Rhinolophus ferrumequinum: one gene and its partners. The protein of the gene in region 2 interacts with the protein of the main gene of each other region in a biochemical or structural test. Links are inferred from orthologs where the notes say so. Each region holds a gene or a part of one and is shown on either strand. Other genes may lie near its edges. The genes, in order: DNM2, SH3GL2 and DNM1.

Region 1 (7,343 bases), on a different chromosome or scaffold from region 2:
CTTTTGCAGATCAATCCGCTGGCTGGACCGTTGCATTGCAGCCCATCGGCGGCCGGACAAGCAAAATCTCTTCGCCATCATCCAGGGTGGGCTAGATGCGGATCTCCGGGCCACCTGCCTGGAAGGTAGAGCCATGTGCTGGCAGGACCAGGGCTTGTCACATCGCTGGGGGCCCCACAAAGGCCTGACATGCGATGGTGCTCAGACAGTGGTTGTTAATGGGTGAAACGGCACTGCAAGCGGAAGGAACAGCTGAAGCAAAGGCCCAGAGGCAGAATGGAGTAGAATGTTTGCAGAATAATAGTAATTCCAATTGCCATCAATTTTGGGGTGTTTACCAGACACTATGCCAAGTTCTGATCATGGATCTGATTAAGTTCTGACCCACTGATTTTTCATAACCATCCTGTAAGGTGGGAGCTACCACGTTCCTGAGGTTACAGAAGGGAAAACTGAGGCATAGAGCTGTTGTCACTCACCCCAAGCCAGACAGCTCGGATATTGCAGAGCTAGGATTTCGGCCCAGGCCTTGAGCTCTAGACTCTACAGCATTAATTGGTACACTGAGGGCCTGGGGAACCATGGAGGGCTGTTGAGTAGGAGTGTGATAGGAACCAATGGGGAACCATAGAAAAGTCCCAGTAGGACAGGAAGCACAAGGCCCGTGAGGAGGCTGGAGTGGGTGCCCAGAGGAAGGGTGACAGGACTACAGCAAGGCTGTGGAGATGAAGGAGAGGCAGAGATGGGGACACAGAGGGGGAGGAAGAGGAAGAAGAGGAGCAGTGTTTCCTTTTGTCTGGCCACCCCTCACCTTGCCCTGTACCCGCAGAGATGACCAAGAGGAACGTGCCGGGCTTCGCCATCGGGGGCCTGAGTGGGGGTGAGAGCAAGGGCCAGTTCTGGAGGATGGTGGCGCTGAGCACTTCGAGGTTGCCTAAGGACAAGCCCCGATACCTGATGGGGGTTGGGTATGTCCAAAAGGGGGCAGAGAGCCCCCCTTTAGGAAGTGGATTTCTGGGCACCCCCTGCCCTGTGGTATGGGGGGAAAGACAGACCTGCCTGGGAGGGGACTAAGGACGACATGGACCTCTGCTGGGGGTGGTTCTGAGGGTCTCAGTCCAGGGGGAGTCTGAGGGTCGGGAGGAGGACCTGGGTGTGTGACCAGGGCTTGAGGTACTGTGCTCGTCTCCCCCCATGGCCCCACCCCCAGCTATGCCACTGATCTGGTGGTCTGCGTGGCTCTTGGATGCGACATGTTCGACTGCGTTTTCCCCACGCGGACAGCGGTGAGGCTCTGGGCGGTTGAGGCAGGAACCTGGGGGGAGTGCCAAAGTGGGTGTGGGGGACAGGGTGAAAACATGGTTGACCTGCCTTCCCTTCCCCCTCTCCTCCCCCAGCGCTTTGGCTCTGCCCTGGTGCCCACCGGCAACCTGCAGTTGAAGAAGAAGCATTTTCAGAAGGACTTCCGCCCCATAGACCCCGAGTGTTCCTGTCCCACCTGCCAGAAGTAGGAGAGGATGGGATCTGGGGCCGGGGCGGGGGGGGGGGGGGGGGGGGGGGGGGGGGGGGAGTTGTGGAGGAGGCAGGATGCTACACTGCTGAGCCCTGACCCCCTGTCCCCAGGCACAGCCGGGCCTTTCTGCACGCACTACTCCACAGCGACAACACCGCCGCCCTGCACCACCTCACTGTTCACAACATCGCCTACCAGGTGGGCCTGTGGCTTGGGTGGGCAAGGCAGGGGTGGGGGCGGGGTCTTCAGGGCAGGCGGCTGACACTGACACCTCCACCCCATAGTTGCGGCTGATGGGAGCGGTGCGCGCCAGCATCGTGGAGAAACGCTTTCCCGACTTCGTGCGGGACTTCATGGGCACCATGTATGGGGACCCCACCCTCTGTCCCACCTGGGCCACTGAAGCCCTGGCCTCTGTGGGAATCACTCTGAGCTGACCCGGCTTGGGGGCCAGGGGGAGGGGCTGGAAGATATTGAAGGATTTGGTTTTTTATTGTAACTCAGAGTGTGTCTGTGCCTTCTTGGGGCGGTGGCCTGTATTGGTCCCATTCCTGGTCTGAGTGTCATCACGTCTGATGTCCCTTGCTTCCCTTTGATAGTAACTAATAACCATAGTAACAGCTGGTATCTGGCAACCACTTGGCACAGCCCAGTATGAAGGAAGTGGCCCAGAGTGAGAGCTGCATTCCTTTGCCCATGGCTTAGGCCCCCCAGCCACTCTAGGGGTGGGCACTTGTCCTCCCACTTTTTACAGGTGAGCAAACAGGCCCAGGGAGGGGAAGTAGCTTGCCCAAGGTCACCATTGAGGAAGTAGCAGCCTGGCTCCAGAGCTCATGCCCTTAGCCTTGTCTCTCCCAACATGTGGCTTCATCTTGTTGTCAGAAAACACAGTGATAATGACAATAGGTGTGATCTAGCAAATGCTTACACGATGCCTGACCTTGTTCTAAATGGTTGTTATGTGTATTGTATTTTTGCAACTTTATGTTGCATGAATAGCTATGTTCCTCATTTTACAGATGAAGAAACAGGTTTATGGGAATCAAGTCACTTGGTCTTTATCACCCAGCAAATAAACAGGCCCAGGATGTAACCCAGATATGGCCAATTACAGAGTTGGTGCTTTTAGAAGATAAGGGTTTTTAAATTGAAAAAGTAATACGTAGGATCCACCATTCAAATAACATAAAAATGCAACTATTTTGATCAGTTTGTGTATTCTTCCAGAAATTTTCCATGTGTACATATTTTCATGAATGTTGGTATCCTTTACACACAGTTCTTTACCTTGCTTTTTTTCCCCCTTAGTATTTTTCAAATTGTTTACATGTCAGTACATGAGGAGTTCCTCATCTTATTTATAGCTGCTGCATAGTATTTATTTAACTAGCTCCATGGATGGGCAGTTAAGAGTGTTTCCAGGTTATTCTGCTATTCTAGTCAAGGCTGCAATGCCAAATCTTGTTGGTCTCCTTTTGCCCATCTCTCTGAGACCTGAAGTTTGGGTCTTGAAGCAGTCATATACTACAGGCCGCTTGAAGCAGTCATATACTATAGGCCGCTCTGCCATCCTCCTCTCCACAGTTTCTCCGAATCAGCCCATTTTCCCACCTCCATAGCTCCTGACTCCCTACTGGGCTCTTCTGCATTCTCCGACCTCCTCAGTTTCTCTCTGATCCATCTATGCCCAGGAGGATCAAATCACTTCTTAACGTGTCTTTTCATAGACAGAAGATCCGCTGAGTTTCAATGGGTACTCAAAAAGATCATGACGCGCCGAAGTTGGGGCCGGGGAACAACGTTGGATGCCTTAGTCTCATCTAGACTGGGTGTGAGCGGAAGGTAATCCGAGGAGAGGATACAGCATTCGCATAGGCGTGGAGGTGTGACTTTATATAGGAATGAGAGTGGGAGACGACAATACAGAGCTAGACTGCCTCTTCTTAGGATCCTTAGTATCGCTGAACTCCCACCTTCGAAGCGCCCTGGAACCCCGCGCAGAGAGGTGGTTTGCAAGCCCCGGGCCGAGATGTATTCTGGGACTTGTAGTTTTATTTAGAGCCTGGCAACTCAACAAGTGCTGATCACCACCGATTTCCACCAATAAGTGTCGCCCTTCAGAGGTTTCGATGGGCCTTACCCTCTGCTCCAGAAAACTTAATAGACATACAGAATACGAGTAAGAACGGGATATTGTTGATTGACAGGTACAGTTCTCAATCAGAGTTAAGATTCGGAGGTTAAAGTCCGCCCTCTTTCGGTTTGTTGGCTAATGGAATGGAGTGATATTTTTATAAACCAATGGGAAATTTTTAGAGAACTAGGTAGCGTCAAATGACAAACGCAGGTCTAAAGGATCGATCCCTAACATCATTGGCCAGCGTTGTTGACTGGAGGATCTTCTTGCCAATAAAACTGGCGGATTTTCATGCCTCCCTCTAGCAGGCGGAGCCAACATGCCTTTTCCCGAAACACCACCTACCAGCCTTGACATCTCGGTACCCGCCTCTATTGGCTTTCGCATAACAGCGACAGTTCTAACATCCAATGAGCCCGCGAGGCGGTCCCAATGGGGAAGGCTCACTCAGCCTTAAGTCCGTGCCTCACTTTCATTGGTTCGCGCTCACAAGTGGCAGCTTGGCCGGCCAATTGAGCGTGGCGCGCGGGCTTTGGGCGCAGCCCCGAGGCCCTGGCGGGAGGTCGCTCGGGTCGGGTGTCGCCTGAGAACCGGATGAAGTGGCGACCGTGAGGCCGAGCCGGACCGGGCGTCGCGCCGAGGCCCGGGCGGGCAGGGAGCAACGGCCGCGGACGCCGCGGGGCCGTGTCGTTGAGGGCCGGGGGCGGGCGGGGAGCGCTGGGCGCTCGGGCAGGGGCTGCCGGCGCCATGGGCAACCGCGGGATGGAAGAGCTGATCCCGCTGGTCAACAAGCTGCAGGATGCCTTTAGCTCCATCGGCCAGAGCTGCCACCTGGACCTTCCGCAGATCGCCGTGGTGGGCGGCCAGAGCGCCGGCAAGAGCTCGGTGCTGGAGAACTTCGTGGGCCGGTGAGCGAGCGCGGCGGCGACCGCGGGCGGGCGGCGGCCTAGGGCGCGGAGGGCGGACCGGGAATGGCGCGCCCTGCGCCGCCGGCGTAACTGCGGCGCTTGCGTGCCTGCGGTGGGGACCGGGACTGGGAGGCGGGTCCTGTTGGACGCCCTGAGTGTAGGGCTCCCTGCGAAGGCTGGGGAGTCGGCGCAGGCCCAAGGCGGGTCTAACCGGCTGGGGGTCGGGGGGTGGGCCAGGAGCTGCGGTGGACCGCTGCCGACTCTGGTCCCCACTTTTAGTGGGTGAATTCTACCATCTGGTTGCCTGTGGGTCAGGGATAGGTCTCTCTTCTCTGTCCAAAACCTAGATATGTTTTGGGCCGACCCCTGCGGTCTGGCTGGCTGTTCATTTATCTGGAGCAGTCCCTGCTGTCTGGTTAGCTGTGTCTCTGTCCTGGATAGGCCTGCCTGCTACCACCATTTGGTTGTCCATCTGTCCAGTTCTGCAGGGCAGCCCCCTGCTGTCTGGCTCGCTGTCCAGGATGACCTGTGTAGTCTGGCCGCCCATCCGTGCCCCTCAAAGACTTTAACACTTAGCCATCCTTCTGTTGGGTTACCCCAGTTGGCCTCTGCTATCTGACTGGCTGTCTGGACCTAGGGGAGCCTGTTGTCTGGACTCTTCAGACAACCCTGGAGCCTGGCCTCACTCTTCAGTTTGGTCTCTGGCAAACACTGGCTCCTCTCTTCCAAGTGGATCTTTTAGTTCCTCTCTCCTAGTGTCTGTCCTTCTAGTCTGCCCATCAGTGCCCTTAACAGCCCCTGTCTGGCCCACCCTCTGTGGTAGGGGGTGATAGGAATTTAGAGAAGAGAAGGGAGCTGAAGGATGAGACTTGAACTACTCCCTTGTCAGTTGGAATTAGGAGTTGGGGGCGAATTTTCTCCGGGATTCTTTCCTGGCCAATGACAGGGTGTTTCAGGACCCCGGAACACAGGGGCCAGACACCAAGCTAAAGCCTGCCAATTGGGGGCCCTCTTGGAGCCTGGGAAGGGACTTCTTGTCTGATCAGGCCTCCATCTTAAGAGCTGGGATAAGGTCTTCCCAGGGCAGCCCTGAGAAGCCTCAGTTTGCCCATCTGTTCAGTGGACAGATTTCACTCTCTGTGTTATTTCGGGGATTCAGGAAGCTAATATAGAGAAGCGGTCCTGTGGCCAATGAGGTCGGTTGATTCTCCCCTCTCCCTTCTTCTGCCTCTTGCCCTTCTGCTTCCCAGATGGGCGGCCACGTTTCTATTCTGGGAAGGACTCCATTTGTGACTGGCTGTCAAATGATAATGTCATAGTCATTGTCATGATTACTGTTCCTGTTATCAGTGTGAAGGAGTAATGTTAATCCACTAGGCAACCAGGCTGAGTTCTTTCTTGGTTCAGAGTCTTGAGTTCCTTGATGAGCAAGTAGGGTGGAGGTTGTTATCCCCACCTTAGAGATGAGCAGGGAGGCTCAGAAAGGCCCGGCCATTTGCCCAAGGCCACCAGCCTGGTGCTCACTTGGAGCCCAGCTGAACATGCGGCCCCGTCTCTGCTTTCCCGGAGGCCTGGGGTTTTGTTCCCAGTGGCATGAATTTCCTCCTTTGCTGCTTTGTCTCCTGGCACTTTGCCCTCTGTCCACTGTGACAGAAAGTGTGGGTTTGGGGTCAGCTCAGCCTGGGTTGTGGGCCTCTCTGCATGGCCGTCTTCCTGCCTGCCCAGGCTTCTGGTGGGCATCTGCAAAGCTTTGTCCGTTTTAGTTGCCTTTGACTTTGCACAGGTTTTTGACCTCTTTGAGCCTTGTTTCCCCCTCCTAAAAATGGGGTGATGGTCCCTCAAGACTGTTGCAGGGATGCAGTGACATAGTATGTTGAAAGTGCTTATTTAGCATAGTACCTGGCACACAGTAGGTCTATATGGCCATTATTCACTGTGCTGGTTCCTCTCATATTGACAACAAAAGCTAATCAAAGTTAAAGTGGTCTCAAGTTTCACACTGGACTTCATTTAAGCCTTATGAGGGTGGTACTGCTATGATCCCATTTCACAGACCAGGAAGCTGAGGCTTAGAGAGCTGAGCACTTTTATTTGAGGCTGTTAAGTGAGGAATTGGGGGCTTTGAGGGGGAGAGTCTTTCTCCTCTCTCCACCTTTCTTCTGTCCCTCTGCCCCTTGCCTTTCTCTCCCATCCACGCTGGCGTCTGGTGACTGCCAGCTCCTACTGAGCTGGCTTCTGTAGCAACCTCCTCCCCTAAACCCGCAATGCGACATCCTTCATTAAGAGCATTAATTTGGGGCCTGAGAACCAAAGTTGTCAAAAGGCCTCTCTTTGGGTAGGTGTGTTCTGACAGAACTAATTTCTTTTTATTTCTGGAATGTGGGGAAGGCCCCTCAGCTACAAAGCCCTGATCCAAGGGGATGGCAGATGGACTTCACTTTGAATTGCACTCCCTACTTCTTTCTGGGCATTTGGTCAAACTGTTGTTTTGTTCTTCTCATCGTGGACCAGTACAGTGGATGTCCCACTGATTTCGAGGAACAGACAAGAGAGGGTCCAAGGTATGTGCCTGGGGGTCAGCACACGTTGCTCCATTTCAGTGCCTCCTCCTTGTGGATTTTCTAAGAATGTGGTTGGAGTGGGAATGACCCAGTTAACTTAGCCCTGTATGGGGGTTGCATATCAGTGGCCCCCGGGGGCTAAGTCTGGGTCTTTCATTTCACCTGCACGGTGTTTAAAATGTTTTGTTTTTAATTAGCTGTCAATATTTAAAAGTTACATTTTG
Region 2 (7,142 bases):
TTCATACAGGGATGGTGGGTGAAGGCTTTGAAACATCAGACCCAGTGTGGCAAGAATATGGCATCAGTGACAGTGATAAATTGTTCAATCTTTCATTCATGCCTTCCCATCTGTGTGCATTAACACAGAATGGAGACTCTGCTCTGAATTGAGGCTAACAGTGGAAGTAAAAATAACAATGAATAAGACACTTCCTTTCATTGCTTCTGTTTCTCAACGGTAAAACACAAAATTGGGATTTAATGCCTTTGCTTTGCTGTGTTTCTTGCACTTAATGAGCTTACACATAAAGTCAGGCGTAGTTTGCCCTGGTGTGGGCCAGAGGAGAGGTGTCAGGGGCTGAAGGGCAAAAAGATGAGAGCTGCTGCTTGTTGTCTGTGTCCTTGGAGAAGTCCTCTGAAAGGTGCCAGGGATGCAGTGGTTCTGTGCAAACTAAAAGTCTGGTATTTGCCAGAGCTTTCTTATAATGCAAGGAGAAATAGTGCATGAACGATGTGATGGAATTATTGCTGACCATGAACTTTCTGCCAGATCTGTGAGGTGGTGCTGTGTAGGGGTTTTATCTAATTGGAACTTTTAAAAGCAGATCTAGGTTTATTTACCATTGTACATTGATTTGATCTCAAGAGAGGAGAGGGCAGCATGTTGAATTGCAACCACCTCTTATGAAACAAAGTTCTGACTCGCTGACCTTAGGTCCCTCTTTCCCTATATTGTGCTGCCGCAATTCTCCATAGAGCCTCTGTCACAGCTTCTGTGCAACCAAAGAGGGCACTCATGTTTGAAAAATTTTCAGTCTAGTGCATTCATCCGTCTGTATTCAAGTCACAGTAACTGTCTACAGGAAGCATTTTCTGAATTACTGGCCTGGAAACCCCTTGGGGTTCAAGGTCCAGTCCATACTTGTCTTGGCATCTCACCTGACCACCTCCAAACCTTCTACCATGATTCCCGCTAGTAGGAGGAACTCAACAAATCTCTTTCAAGGGTAACATCTAAAATATCTTTATAGGTGTAAACTATGGCTTCAGCAGAAATGCAGGATTTACATGAGACCCAGAGGATACCTGGGAGAATTAACCATGGTTTCAAAAGGATTTAAAATTCCTCAGATCGTTCTTCCTCCCAAGGTACTTTCTTTGATGTATAGCAGGATGAGCCTTCTAAGTTGGTGGATGAAGAACCAAGAAAAGATAGAGACTTGCTTTTGTTTGATTTAGGGTTAAGTATTCAAAGTCCCAAGGAGACTCTCGGTCCTCATTTCACACCTTTCACAGTTAGGGAGCAGCGCTCAGGAATCCCAGGCCCTCCCACTTTGTACATTAGTTGCTCTCTCTCTTCGCAGTTTCAATCAAGGCCCATACGTCTATGAAAATGTCCCGTTTTTCAGATCAGAGACCAGTTAGGAAAAATTAACTATAAAAAAAACTTTTCTATTATACAATTAATGGGAAAACATTTTAAAAATTGAGAGAATAGAAAAAAAAAAGTTCAGTCCTAAAAGCTCTACTAAGATCCGCTGGTTTTCAAAGTGTGGTCCCCAGACCAGAGCGTTAGCATCGCCTGGGGACTTGTCAGAAATGCACAGTCTTGGCCCCCACCCAGACCTAGTGAATCAGAAACTAGGGATGTGGCTCAGCAATTCGTGCTTTAAAAGTCCTGCAAGGGATTCTGAGGCACCCTGAAGTTTGAGAACTGCTCCAGCAGCATGACTATTATTACCATTTTACGGTCTTTTCGTGTGTGTGTTGTGTGTAGGCATACGCTGGCTTCACCAAACTGTTAGAGTACAAAAGCAGTCATTGTGACACTAACCCCCAAATCTTCCCACCTAGAGCTCCACCTACTCATGCATTAAGTCCAAAGTCTTGCAGTTTCCTAAGGTCAGGAACCTGGGAATCACCATGATGATCACCACAGGTGTAAGTCGCCCTGGGCATACCACCTCATGGGTCCTCAGTCAGGTCACTTTAATGGTTTGTCCTAGACTTTGATGAGTCAGTAGCCCCACCTATCTATAGGCAGGACTGTCATCTTTCCCTGTCAAATGCTTTTCTGAGACACTGATTGCCCCTTGCCCGACATGCCTTTAGAATGGAAGAGCTCACACTTCCCCCTCCCTAGCTGCTAAGGAAAATGCAGGGTAAGAGGGTCGGGGCATGGAGTCACCATTCCCTCTGACCCTCAGGCCAAGGGGCGAGTCTGCCCACTGCTTCAGTGAGACTGCAAAAAAAAGAGAAGACACCTCCTCACACTTCACTGATGCTTTTTGTAAGAATAAAATGGACAACTTACTTCATGGACATCTGATGACAAAAAGTAAAATACAAGTGGGCAATGGCAAGAACTGGAAAATGTTCCTTCATCTTTCGGGCAATGGGAAAGCATGTTCTGTCTATGCATCAGTCAGGTGGGCCAGTTCTGCCACAGTAACAACTCCAGACTCTGTGGATTAAAATTACTCAGGTTTATGTCTCACTCATACTGAACATCTCTTGGACATCAACTGGGGACTTTGCTCTACTTCCTTTTCACAGTGGATTCTGTTTGACAGACCACAACTATTTAGAATATTGTTGCAGAGTGAAAAGAGAGCTTTGTAGCATCTCATCCCAACAATTAAACTCTATGCCAAGAAGTGACAGTCACTTTTCTTCCTAATTCACTAATGAAAGCTTGTCACAGTGCCTCCATTTAACCATAAAATATGTGGAAAATGCAGTTCTACCATGTATGTATCTGGAAGGTACATGGACATCAGTAATGACAACCACATTGGACATTTGCTGCTTTTGTCTGATTCTCTCTGGAGACTGGGTCACAAGTCTGTGTGCTCTTACTTCTCTGTTATCTACCACTATCTGCTCGACTCTTCTTTTAGGTGTTTGAGTCCACATTATCAAGGACTATGACTGGTAGCTCAGCCGATGGTCAGGACCCCGTTGTATCACCTGTTTACCCTGTGACCAAGCAGCTTGGCTAGAAGGGTGGAGGTGGGGTCTATGGTTCCTTGCAGGCAGCAGGGGTTGTGGAGGCAAGGTATTCCTAGTACTCCTTCTGCCATGCTGTTTTCTTATTTATCCTTGGCAATGTCTTTCATCTTGGCTTCTGTCACTCTGACTTCTCCCCCTTATAACTTTGGTTCCTACCTGGGGACAGCATTCAAGTTCTTCCCTATGTGCTCCTCAGTCCTAGAAAAACCAGAAGAAGTGGCGAATTACCAGAACATAGAAAACAGGTAGTGCTGCTCTGCTACTAACTATTTGAATTCTACCAAAGTTTCCCTTTAGCCTAGCCATAGATACTTTGTTACATATGTAGTATTTGTACAGCTTAGTATCATCATGCTTTTTCACATTATATAATGCTTATTTTAGATTGAAAATCTGAAATCTACTATCATAAGTGAAAGCCAAGTTTATATTCGATCTCTTCCATATCTGTAACCAGGATTAAATACTATTACTACAGTAATAGCCCACTTCAATTTTATTTATCCCCCAACTTTAAGGTTTTTAAAATTTTTTGTTATTTTTAAGTCGTTAAGTTGTATCAGACCAAACATGCAAAAAACACACACACAAAAAGAAAGGGAGTCGGTGGTGGTATTTCCTAACGTTATGTAGGTTTAAAGGATATTGAAACGATGGCAAAGAAATGTTTTCTGTAACCAGTCAAACGGGGCATGTCACAGAAAGAGCAATGACTTATTCATTACCCCAGATAGAACGCCACTCCTTCTTTCTAGGCTGCAGAGAGGGCAGGGTCAAAGGGCAGGCAACGCCGCCCCAGCTACCTGGAAGCCAAGCAAGTCACCTGAGTCGTGCCCAGTGCCTGGGCTACCAAGCTGCAGGGTCCCGTCCTCAGCCTGTTGGGGTACGCACGACACTCCCGGGGCAGGAGAACGCCCTTGGCCCTCCTCCTTAACTGGCGCCCGTGGGAGCCGTGGAGCCAGATCCGCTCGTCCGACGCCCGTGCCCAGGTAGCGGGTGCCAAGGCACCTGCCTGCGGCCCAACGCCCGGGGCGGGGCTTCCCGCGTCCCCTTTAAGAGGCCGCATCACCCGCCCCTGACGTCAGGGTGTCTCTCCGCACCAGCCCGCGTCCCGCGCCGCTCCGCGCCCCCGCGCCCACAGCCCCGGCGGCGGCACGACGAGCGCGCCGCCCGGCTTGGCCCTCCCGTCCCGCTCTGCTGCCGCTGCCTTCTAGCACCAGCAGTCGCCCGCCTCCGCGCGTCCTCCCGCACCATGTCGGTGGCCGGACTCAAGAAGCAATTCCATAAAGCCACTCAGGTAAGGCGCGTGACAGGTGCGGCGCGGGGCGGTCCCGGGCGGAGCTGCGAGGGGCTCGCACTCCGCGCTTGCAGCTGCCCGGGAGCGTGGGGACCCTTGCCTGCGCCGAGCCCGCCCCGGCCGCGCCCCGCAGCGCCCGCTCCGCCCGCCTCGGCATCCCCGCGCTGGAAACCCGCCCATCGGTTTCCCACCCCCGGCTCAGTGCGGCTTGGCGGGCGCCCGCGGGTCCCCGGCGTCCCACCTAGGCTCCCCGCGCGCCGCCTCCGCACCTCCCAGCGCAGCCGCTACCGGGAGGAGACCCGGGCTTGCAGGTGTCGGGGCGGCGCGGCAGGAGATTATGTAAAGTCGCCTCTTTCCCCCGTGACCTTGCGGTGTCGGTGCGCCGGGCTGTCCCGGGATGTGCTGGCACGAGCGGTGGCCCGCACTGGAGGAGGCTGCGGAGATGTCCGCGGTTTGGGCTTCTCCCCTGTGATCTCTGAAACCCTACTTCCTTGGTCCTCTACAGGCTCAGAGGAATGGGCAGATGGGGCTTCCTCTGGAAAGCTCAGGCATTAACTTTTCCTTAGGGAAGTCGGTCGTCAAATCGCTTTGAGGTAGAAGGTTGACCAGCAGTCTGCATGTCTTAAAAAATGTCCATATATATCACATTGTGTGTTCACCACACAGTCAGTTTTCTTTCCATCACCACATATATATAGATGATGTATTACAGAATTATACACCTGAAATCTATATAACTTTACTAACAATTGTCACCCCAGTAAACTTAAAAAAAAATTTCCCAAAGGATGTTGCAGCCTTAACATAACTAATTTTTAAAATCTTTAAAATTTTATTTTTAGTGAGCTTTTCACATTTTGGATATGGCTATCTTTCTCTATGGGGTTAATAAGCTGTGATTAAAATAAAATTTATTAATTCAGATTCTAATAATTTAAATCTCATTGGGCTTGGTTGAAGAGTTTTATATAGGGAAATAATACTTATAATGTGACCTATTTCTTATATAATGAATATGGTTACTATTTTTTTTTTATTCTTCTGAAACAGTTTGAGTTTAAGGGATCTTTAGCCTAAGGGCTTTGTTGATTTCTTTAAATGTTTCTCATAATTTAGTCTTAAGTATTTTTTTTCATAGGTTAGCCTTAATATTGAGCTTTCTCATAATTCCTCAGAAGTAGTGAGGTTTTCCCCAGGCTACTACAGTAACAGTCCTATTATAAACCACATCCAGGAAGGTAAGGGTTGTGTTTTACAGAATCTTGGTTAAGTTACGGTGACAGATGCAGCATGAAATTCATCTGTGCACCCACGTGCTATCTCTGTCACCACAGACTTGCCTTTATAGAACCAGTTATTTCTGTCGATTTAGGAAATAGAAGAAATTAAGACAGTTGCAGTAAAAAATGCCCGTCAATGCAATCATCTTTGCTTTTCAAATTGGATCTTTCTGAAACCTCTCTGCCAGAAATGTTGTAAATATAAATGTATTGTTGGTGTAATTTGGAAGGTCTCTCATAACTTTATACCCAAATTCCTTCAGAGAACCAGCGTATGCGCTGCCCATAAATTCTCAGGCAGGACTTCTTTGATGTCACAAACCATTTTTATTTCGGGTACTTGTCATTCCTGTAAAACAGACCACCGCGTTGAATTTACCAGTACCACATCCTTTCTTCACGCTGATTCTCAGGACTTTCTTTGGAGATTAGTGTTGTCCTAAATGGCAGTTAGGAACCTTGGCTTTAGAGTAGGAAAGACTAAGGCTTGACCCCTCATCTGCTGTCTGTGACCTTGAGCAAGTTATTTAACTTCTGAGTCTGTCCTTTATAAAATGATGTAATTACCTATTTCTTAGAGTTGATGTGAACATAAATGAGTTTGTAGAACACATACAGAAAGTGTGCAATAAATGCTATTAACATTAAGGATAATTTTATTAGGATAAAATACTGTGCCTTCCATTGGTAATGAGACATGAGGAAATTATAGAATTTTTAGCTTTGCTACTTAACAGAAATAATCAGAAGGCTCCATGTCAGGTTAATCTTGAAATTATATGTAGCTCTTAATATTCTGAATACAGAATTGGAATTGTGATGTGAAATAACTTCTTAGATCATTGGAGGAGGCCTGCTTGTGATAAGATCAGTACTTATCACACTGAATTTAGATGCAGAATCACTGCATCATTTTCTTCTTTTTACTGAAAAGCCTTTCATTTTAAAGGTGAGACAACGCACAATCTCTTATTCATTGCTTAGTATTGCACAGTCTTAGGAAGCCCAGGGCAAAGGTTATTCTTCCTGTGCATGTATGTGTATTTCGAAGGGCGTGTAAAGCCAGTACTAATATTTGCATGTGACACAGACATTAGGGGACACAGCCATAGTTCACTTTTTAATCCATTTCCCCCATGTAGCGCACGAACCTGATCTTATCTGCAGAGGAAGCTGTAGAACTAGAATTATTTCCTTTTGAGAATAGATATGCTGGATTAGGTAGCCTATGTTTCGAAGTGGATGACCTCTCTTCCTCTCTTCATAGAAACAAGCATTTCTCCTGTTTCTATGAAATTGAGTTTTTGCTTATGTTAGTGAGGAATGATATTGGTATCAATAAAGCAGTATAACTTTAGTGTTTGCCCACTGATTTGAAATCTCTGATATGTATCACAACTGTTTTGGTTTAGAACTGATGATTTCTACCTTGTTGCTGACAGCTGTTTTCAATAGCTCAGCTGTTTGGAAGTGAAAGAAAAGCTTTTGCCTGATAAAATACTAATACTAGAGTGGAAAAGCCTTCTAGCTTAAGAATATATTAAAATAGCAAAAATCAATCATCTTTGTACT
Region 3 (6,908 bases), about 56 Mb from region 2:
ATTATTCACTGTACCATGCACCATTTTCATGTTCTACCTGAATTATTATGACATCACAAAACCCTCCTTGCACAGCTCTATGAGTTAGGTAGCATTTTCTTTTTCTGTTTTGTTTCTTTGTTTCTTTTCTTTAGATTCTACATATAAGTGAGATCACACGATATTTGTCTTTCTCAGTCTGACTTATTTCCCTTAGCATAATACCCTCTAGGTCCATCCATGTTGTCACAAATGGTAAGATTTCCTTCTTGTTTATGGCTGAGTAATATTCCATTGTATGTAAGAGTTAGGTAATATTATTATCCCCTTTTTACTGAAGAAACTGAGGGTCAGGGAGGTGAAGCGACTTGCCTAAAGTCATCAGGTTAGAAAGCGGCAGAGGTGGGATTTGAACACCAGCCAGGCCAGCTTTCCAGCTGTGCCGTTGAATCATATGTACCTAACCATCAGCACACAAGGGTACCTGCCTTATTCCAGGCTCATGGGGAGCACCTCACTATAAGATGGGATGCTGCAAGCACAGATGCTTGGACCATCAGTGCCCAAAAGCCCCTGGGAAATCTTGGTGCCCAGTCCCCAGCCATGCAGAGGAGGGGATGTGGCCCAGCCTGGCTCAGCTGCTCCCTCAGCAGTGACCTTGCCCCAGACTGGGCCAGGTGCCATTGCCCTATGCACCTGGTCTGCTTAGCTTGTCTTTCTCTCCCCAGTGAATCCATTCTAGAAGGACCTGTCCTACATCTTATTAACCTCTTCATCCCCCTATGTCTTGCTTGAGGTCTGGCATGAAGTAGTCACTGATCAATAACCTGTTGAAGAATAAATGAACAAATGAACCCAAAGGGCCCAGACCCTGATCAGACCCTGTGACTAAATATAATGGCTTGACCGACGAGCTGTATAAGAAGGCCACTGTTCAATTCAATATAACCAGCATTTACTGAGCACCTACTGTATGCACAACAGAAACCCTATCAGAAAGGGCTACTGTTTTATGTGCACTAAAATATATATAGGTTACAAGAGCTGGTGTAGTGTAGGATAGAAATGTGGAAGCTCTGAGTCTGACGACCTCCATTCACATCTTCACTCTATCACTTCCTGGCTTTGTGACCTTAGACTCATTCCTCATGAACCCCTTTGTGCCTCGGTTTCCTCATCTGTCAAAAGGAACTAATAAAAACTTCTCGGGGCCGGCCCGGTGGCTCAGGCGGTTGGAGCTCCATGCTCCTAACTCCGAAGGCTGCCGGTTTGATTCCCACATGGGCCAGTGGGCTCTCAACCACAAGGTTGCCAGTTCAATTCCTCGAGTCCCGCAAGGGATGGTGGGCTCCACCCTCTGCAACTAAGATTGAACACGGCACTTTGAGCTGAGCTGCCGCTGAGCTCCTGGATGGCTCAGTTGGTTGGAGTGCGTCCTCTCAACCACAAGGTTGCCGGTTCGTCGCCCGCAAGGGATGGTGGGCTGTGCCCCCTGCAACTAGAAAACGGCAACTGGACCTGGAGTTGAGCTGCGCCCTCCACAACTAAGACTGAAAGAACAACTTGAAGCTGAACGGCACCCTCCACAACTAAGATTGAAAGGACAACAACTTGACTTGGAAAAACAGGCTTGGAAGTACACACTGTTCCCAATAAAGTCCTGTTCCCCTCCCCAATAAAATCTAAAAAAAAAAAAAAAAACTTCTCCCTCCTGAGGGTTGAATCTCTCAGCAGAGTAACCTGGTGGAGAGGAAATGCCCAGTGAATGTTCCTATTGTAAACCTGCCTAGCCGTTAGTGGTTAAAGCTGCAGGAGGTCCAGAGAGAATTCTCCCTCTTGGGTGCTCAAAAGAGAGAGTCAAAGCCATTTCTAAGACTCATTTAATTTATTGGCCCTCAGAGCCCCCAGCTTCTCAGTGCCTGGGGAGAACCTTCTACAGTAGCACTTCTTCAGTCCTCACCAAAATCTGTGGGAAACTGAGGCCAGGGTAGATTTCAGGTTCATTTCCTTTCTGATTCCATACCTTCGCTTATACTGGTTCCTCTATCCAGAACATCAACCCTTCTCTACATCCCACAGTGGCATTTTATTCATCCATTCTTCAAGCCTAGCACATCCATTTTTAGCAGACCAGGAAACAAAAACAGGGCACTGCCAAACTGGAAAACTATGCAGCCGTGAACAAGAACCATGACCGATCTGTTGGTTCTTACATTGAAACAGGTCAAACACATACCGTTACTAAAAAAGCAAGTTGCAGAGCTTCTCCAACGTTGAAGTGCATAGGAATCTTCTGGGGCACTTGGTTCTTATGAAATTCAGGTTGTGATCCAGCAGGTTATAAGTGGGGCTTGAGATTCTGCATTTCTGAGTAGGTCATGCCCAGGCTGCTGGTCTGGCATCAGTGATTCAGCAGGACAGGATGTATAAGATTCCACTTCTGTAAAAACAAAAGAAAACAAAGTGAATACATATGCAAAAAGCCAGAGAATAAACACTAAGTTATAAAGACTGATTATCTCTGGGTGGGAGGATGACCAGAAGTTTTCAAATACTGTGTAAAGGCTGATTTTTACAATAAGTTTCACTATCGTAATTAGGAAAAACAACCCAGCCATGACGGTGCCCCTCTAGGTAGACATCTGCAAACTGCAGCCCCTCCTCAAATTAATGACTGTACTCCAGGCTTCCTCTCTGGTTCTCAGAGCATAATAACTGTGTTTCCCTGAAAATGAGACAGGGTCTTATATTAATTTTTGCTCCAAAAGATGCATTAGGGCTTGTGTTCAGGGGATGTCATCCTGAAAAATCATGCTAGGGCTTATTTTCCGGTTAGGTCTTTTTTTTCGGGGAAACATGGTTACCAGGCTGGCTTGAAGCAGCTGCTCAGGAGGGGTGTTGTGGGTGGCTGATGCTCCAACTGTCTCGAGGGCTGTCAGCATCGGCATCCTGCAAGCAGGGTGTAGTAAAAGTCTCTTGAGCGCCAGGCCAGGTCCATGCCCTTCACAGGCATTTCTAATCTATCGTTATCCCCATTACCCAGATTAGATAACTGAGGCTTAGAGACGTGGAGGGACCTGGGTGATACAGCTTGTCTAAGGCCCAGGCCAGGCTCCTAGGATAGGGCCTGATCTGGCTGTGGCTGGCTGGCTTCTCATCATTTAGGTCTCTTCTCAAATGTCACCTCCTCAGAGAATCCCCATGACTCCTCCCAAGCTAAAGTGGATTTTTCATACCCACACAGTTACCTCTTTTCACAACCCGTTTATTTCCTCCATTGTTCTTAGTATAAACTTTTTTTCACTTTTGCTATTTCATTGATCTGTGTAGTCAATCATTGACTGTCTGTCTCTGCCACCTGGATGTAAGATCTATGAGACACCTTGTCTGTGTTGTTCATTGCTGTATCTCCAGTGCCTAGGACAGGCCCGCCACACAGTAGGTGCTCAGTAAATATCTGTTGAATTAATGTTCTATATTTCTCCTTCTAGAAACAGAGAAAGTGAGGCCCAAAGGGACATGCTGGAGATGAATTAGTGTGAGAACTTAAGAGTAAAAGGCAGTGAGGCCAAATTGAACTCCTGGTCAGGAGACTGTGCCCTTGGAGGATGCCATTTTCTCGCCAAGCCTCAGTTTCCCTATCTATAAGATGAAGTGAGGCAGCCATGACCACTATCCAAGAGGCCCGGTACCAGGGGGTGAGACCCTCACCCATTTCAGAATGACCTCTTCGGCGCATTATCCACATTCCCACACACGGCTGGCTCAAGCTCCCCAAAACCCGCAGAAAGAGAAAACTGCAATCCCCATGGGGCCGCTGACGGCGCCTGCGCACGGCGGCCGGACTGCAGCGCCGCGGGCGCCCTCTGGCGGCAGTCCGGGACACGCTCCCCTCCAATCCTGGAGGGGCGGGGGGCCCGAGGCGCAGGCAGTCGGAGCGCGCGGCTGCTGCGGCGGAGCCGGAGCCCGGAGCCGAAGCGGCGGCCAGATCGCAGCCCTCGGGGCCCGCCGCAGCCATGGGCAACCGCGGCATGGAAGATCTCATCCCGCTGGTCAACCGGCTGCAGGACGCCTTCTCCGCCATTGGCCAGAACGCGGACCTCGACCTGCCGCAGATCGCCGTGGTGGGAGGCCAGAGCGCCGGCAAGAGCTCTGTGTTGGAGAATTTCGTTGGCAGGTAGGAGAGGCGCTCCCCGGAGCGCGCACTCCCTACACCTGGGTCCCCTGGGCCTCCGCCCCCGGCTCCGACGGCGCCGCGACCTCACAGCCCCTGGCGCTGCACCCGCGACCGTGCGCCCCCCACCTCCAGCCAGAGGGAGGTGGCCCTCCTCCTCCACGAGAGCCCCTCAGAGGCGGCAGCGCCCCCCGCTTGTCCACGAGCGGCGTCAGGCCACCAGCTACTGTATCACGCCCCCTCCTCCGCCCCATCCGTTTGGGAAGACAGCGCTCTGCCAGGAGACCCTTACACAGGGTTGTCCCCCGATACCTCACAAGGGCACCGAGGGGCCTTGAATTACTCAGTGGCTCCCTCCGACTCCCTCCAGGAGTACCTTGGAGGGGCAACACCCCCGGGGCAGGGCCCCCTACCCCTAGGCTCTACGGAGGACAGCTCCCTCCCCCCATGGGAATTCCTGGACAGTGGTAGGGGACACCCCCCATAGCCCCTGGTAGAGGACATAGCTCTGTGGGCATCAAGGACCAGGCACAGCCTACCCCCTCTCACACACACACCTCTGCGGCTCCCGCCGCCATCCGTGCGCAGCGCGGCCGTGGGGGGAGGCGCGGGCTGCAGGATGAGGAAGGGAAGGGGGGTGGGGGAGAAACTGCTTCTGATCCTTTTATGAGCAGCCGGCCCCTTATTCTGCCGCCGCCCCTGGGTGGAGGACGTCTGTCAAAGTCGTTCTCCCCTTGGTCTGGCAGAGGGATTGTAATGGAGGGAGAAGGCAGTGGAGGGCAGAGATGACTAAGACAGGGAGGCAGGATGGCGGGGAGGGGGGAGCCATTTGCAGAACCTAATCCTCCTTCTGCCTTTGATCCCACAAGGCGCTGGAAGGGCCAGGTGGCAGCGAGTGGGGGGCAACCACAAAGACAGAAGGTCCTGGGTTTAGAGGGACAGGCAGTGTTGTGACCCCCCCAAGTTCCCTCAAGATAGGGGAGGCAGAAATGGCTTTTTGGGGTACTGAGAAGGAGAGAGAGAGAGGATGGCGCTCTCCTGGTGCTGGAGGCTGGATGGGGGCTGGGCAGACTGAGGTTGGAGGCCGGAGAATTGACACTGACCTCTCCACTCTGTCGTCTCTCTCCCTCACCTTCAGAAACCCTAGCTTTCTTCCAATGACCTTCATGGCTAAGGAAGCCACTGGCAATGTGGGAGAGGAAGGTAGAGGCCCCTCCCTCTGAGGAACAGCAGTTCTGGGGAGAGACATCCTGGGTCCAAATCAGGTTTTGCTGTGAAACCTCTGGCCAGTCACTTGCCCTCTCTGAGCTTCAGTTTCCCATCTAATATGGATAGTTGGACTGGATGATTATTTCTGCCCCTCCAATGACCTGGGAAGCCCAGTGCAAACTGTAGTGGGGAGAGGGAAAGGTCTTGACTGAAGTGATGTATCTGTGGGATGTTGGAAAGCCATCGTGGGGGCGGCTGGGCCCATCTGGTCAGCAGAGGAGGAGACCGTCTGTCTGTGGAGGATGAGGGAAGGCTCCCAAAGAACCCTCCTGCTCACGTGACCCCCAGAACTGCAGCGACACAGGCAAGAGACACACAGATGGGCCAGCAGTCAGAATGAGGGGGTGAGGGTGGGGGTGGAGGGACCCTGGAGGCCTTAACCCTTTAAATGGCACTCATAGATATCCAGCACTTTACAGTGTACAAACCACATTCCTACCTTTCATCCATTGAATGTTTGCTGAACTCCTGCTCTGTGCCAGGTTGTGTGCTCTGGGCAGGTGCTGGTGGGGAAGGCGACCTTAGCTCCCATCTTCTGTGCCCTTCCCATGTGCCCACACCATGCTTCACAAGATGGTTCACAACAGCCCCATGAGGCAGGTACCATGGTGCCTAGATGAGGAAACTAGACCTTGAGGTTAGATGCCTCGCCCAAGGTCACATAGACAGTGCCTATTAGACTCCAGAGCCCAGGTTCCTAGTCTCGACCTTGCACAGCCTCTGAGAGCCAAGCCCAGTACTGAGCACAGGGACATGGAATGGTATGGCCTCCATTTTCCCCATCTGTAGGATGGGAACAATGATGGCTGCTGCCCTGCCTTCCTGAGACGGTGGCTGTGGAGCTCCAATGAGTCCATGGGTGTAAAAGTCCTTTTGTCAACACGTGGGGGCGGGTATTGATAGTTAGGTTTGGGGGCCTGCATGTGCCAGGACAGACCTGACCCCTGCCTGCCCTTTTGGAGTTTACTGTCCAGGAGAGAGAGGTGTCAGTCTGTAGGTAGCACAGCAGGCCAGCCCGGCCACAGCTGACTTCAGCAACTCTTTGTCGAGTGATGGTGCAGGATGTGGACTCTGGCCCAGGAGGCCTGGGCCCTTGCGCTGCTCTCCGAACCCTAATGCTCTTTGACGGTGGCCCTGGAAGAGGCTGCACCAGGTATCCAGATGCAGGCCCAGGGTAGAGCAGGTGAAAAACCAAGGTTCAGTGGGGCCCCCAGCAAGCCCTGCCTGCTCCCTCATGGGCTCCTGACCTCTCTACCTAGGGCTGGGTCCCCAGACTGGTGAGCATGGTAACAGCCGCTCAGCCTCCTGGGACTTCCCAGGAGTCAATCCCCCATGGAGAGGAAGTGGAAAAATGCATCAGAGGAAGTAGAGGCAGCTGTAGGCCGGCCTGGGCTCCCGGGCTCCCAGGAGGACCCTGTTCTCAGCTCTGCAATGGAGGTGGCCAGCAGCTGCCCAGGACCCTGCTCGGACTTGTCTGATCTATGCT

Evidence for each region.
Region 1: the proteins of SH3GL2 (region 2) and DNM2 interact in a biophysical measurement, tested with the Homo sapiens proteins (2 studies listed by BioGRID and IntAct, with this or other methods). The link is inferred for Rhinolophus ferrumequinum from reciprocal best matches to the Homo sapiens genes SH3GL2 and DNM2.
Region 3: the proteins of SH3GL2 (region 2) and DNM1 form a complex in vitro, tested with the Homo sapiens proteins (2 studies listed by BioGRID and IntAct, with this or other methods). The link is inferred for Rhinolophus ferrumequinum from reciprocal best matches to the Homo sapiens genes SH3GL2 and DNM1.

Annotation. Positions count from the first base shown.
Region 1 is NC_046301.1:39,642,645-39,649,987, reverse strand, and holds the start of DNM2 (dynamin-2), read left to right. Parts: upstream 1-4,250; 5' UTR 4,251-4,397; coding exon 4,398-4,558; intron 4,559-7,343. Other genes in the region: QTRT1 (queuine tRNA-ribosyltransferase catalytic subunit 1), read left to right, coding at 10-125, 830-968, 1,211-1,286, 1,398-1,507, 1,624-1,711, 1,798-1,950. UniProt on the Homo sapiens protein: Catalyzes the hydrolysis of GTP and utilizes this energy to mediate vesicle scission at plasma membrane during endocytosis and filament remodeling at many actin structures during organization of the actin cytoskeleton.
Region 2 is NC_046295.1:21,619,969-21,627,110, reverse strand, and holds the start of SH3GL2 (endophilin-A1), read left to right. Parts: upstream 1-4,078; 5' UTR 4,079-4,245; coding exon 4,246-4,290; intron 4,291-7,142. UniProt on the Homo sapiens protein: Implicated in synaptic vesicle endocytosis. May recruit other proteins to membranes with high curvature. Required for BDNF-dependent dendrite outgrowth.
Region 3 is NC_046295.1:77,124,879-77,131,786, forward strand, and holds the start of DNM1 (dynamin-1), read left to right. Parts: upstream 1-3,867; 5' UTR 3,868-3,995; coding exon 3,996-4,156; intron 4,157-4,710; exon of another isoform or gene 4,711-4,784; intron 4,785-6,908. UniProt on the Homo sapiens protein: Catalyzes the hydrolysis of GTP and utilizes this energy to mediate vesicle scission and participates in many forms of endocytosis, such as clathrin-mediated endocytosis or synaptic vesicle endocytosis as well as rapid endocytosis (RE).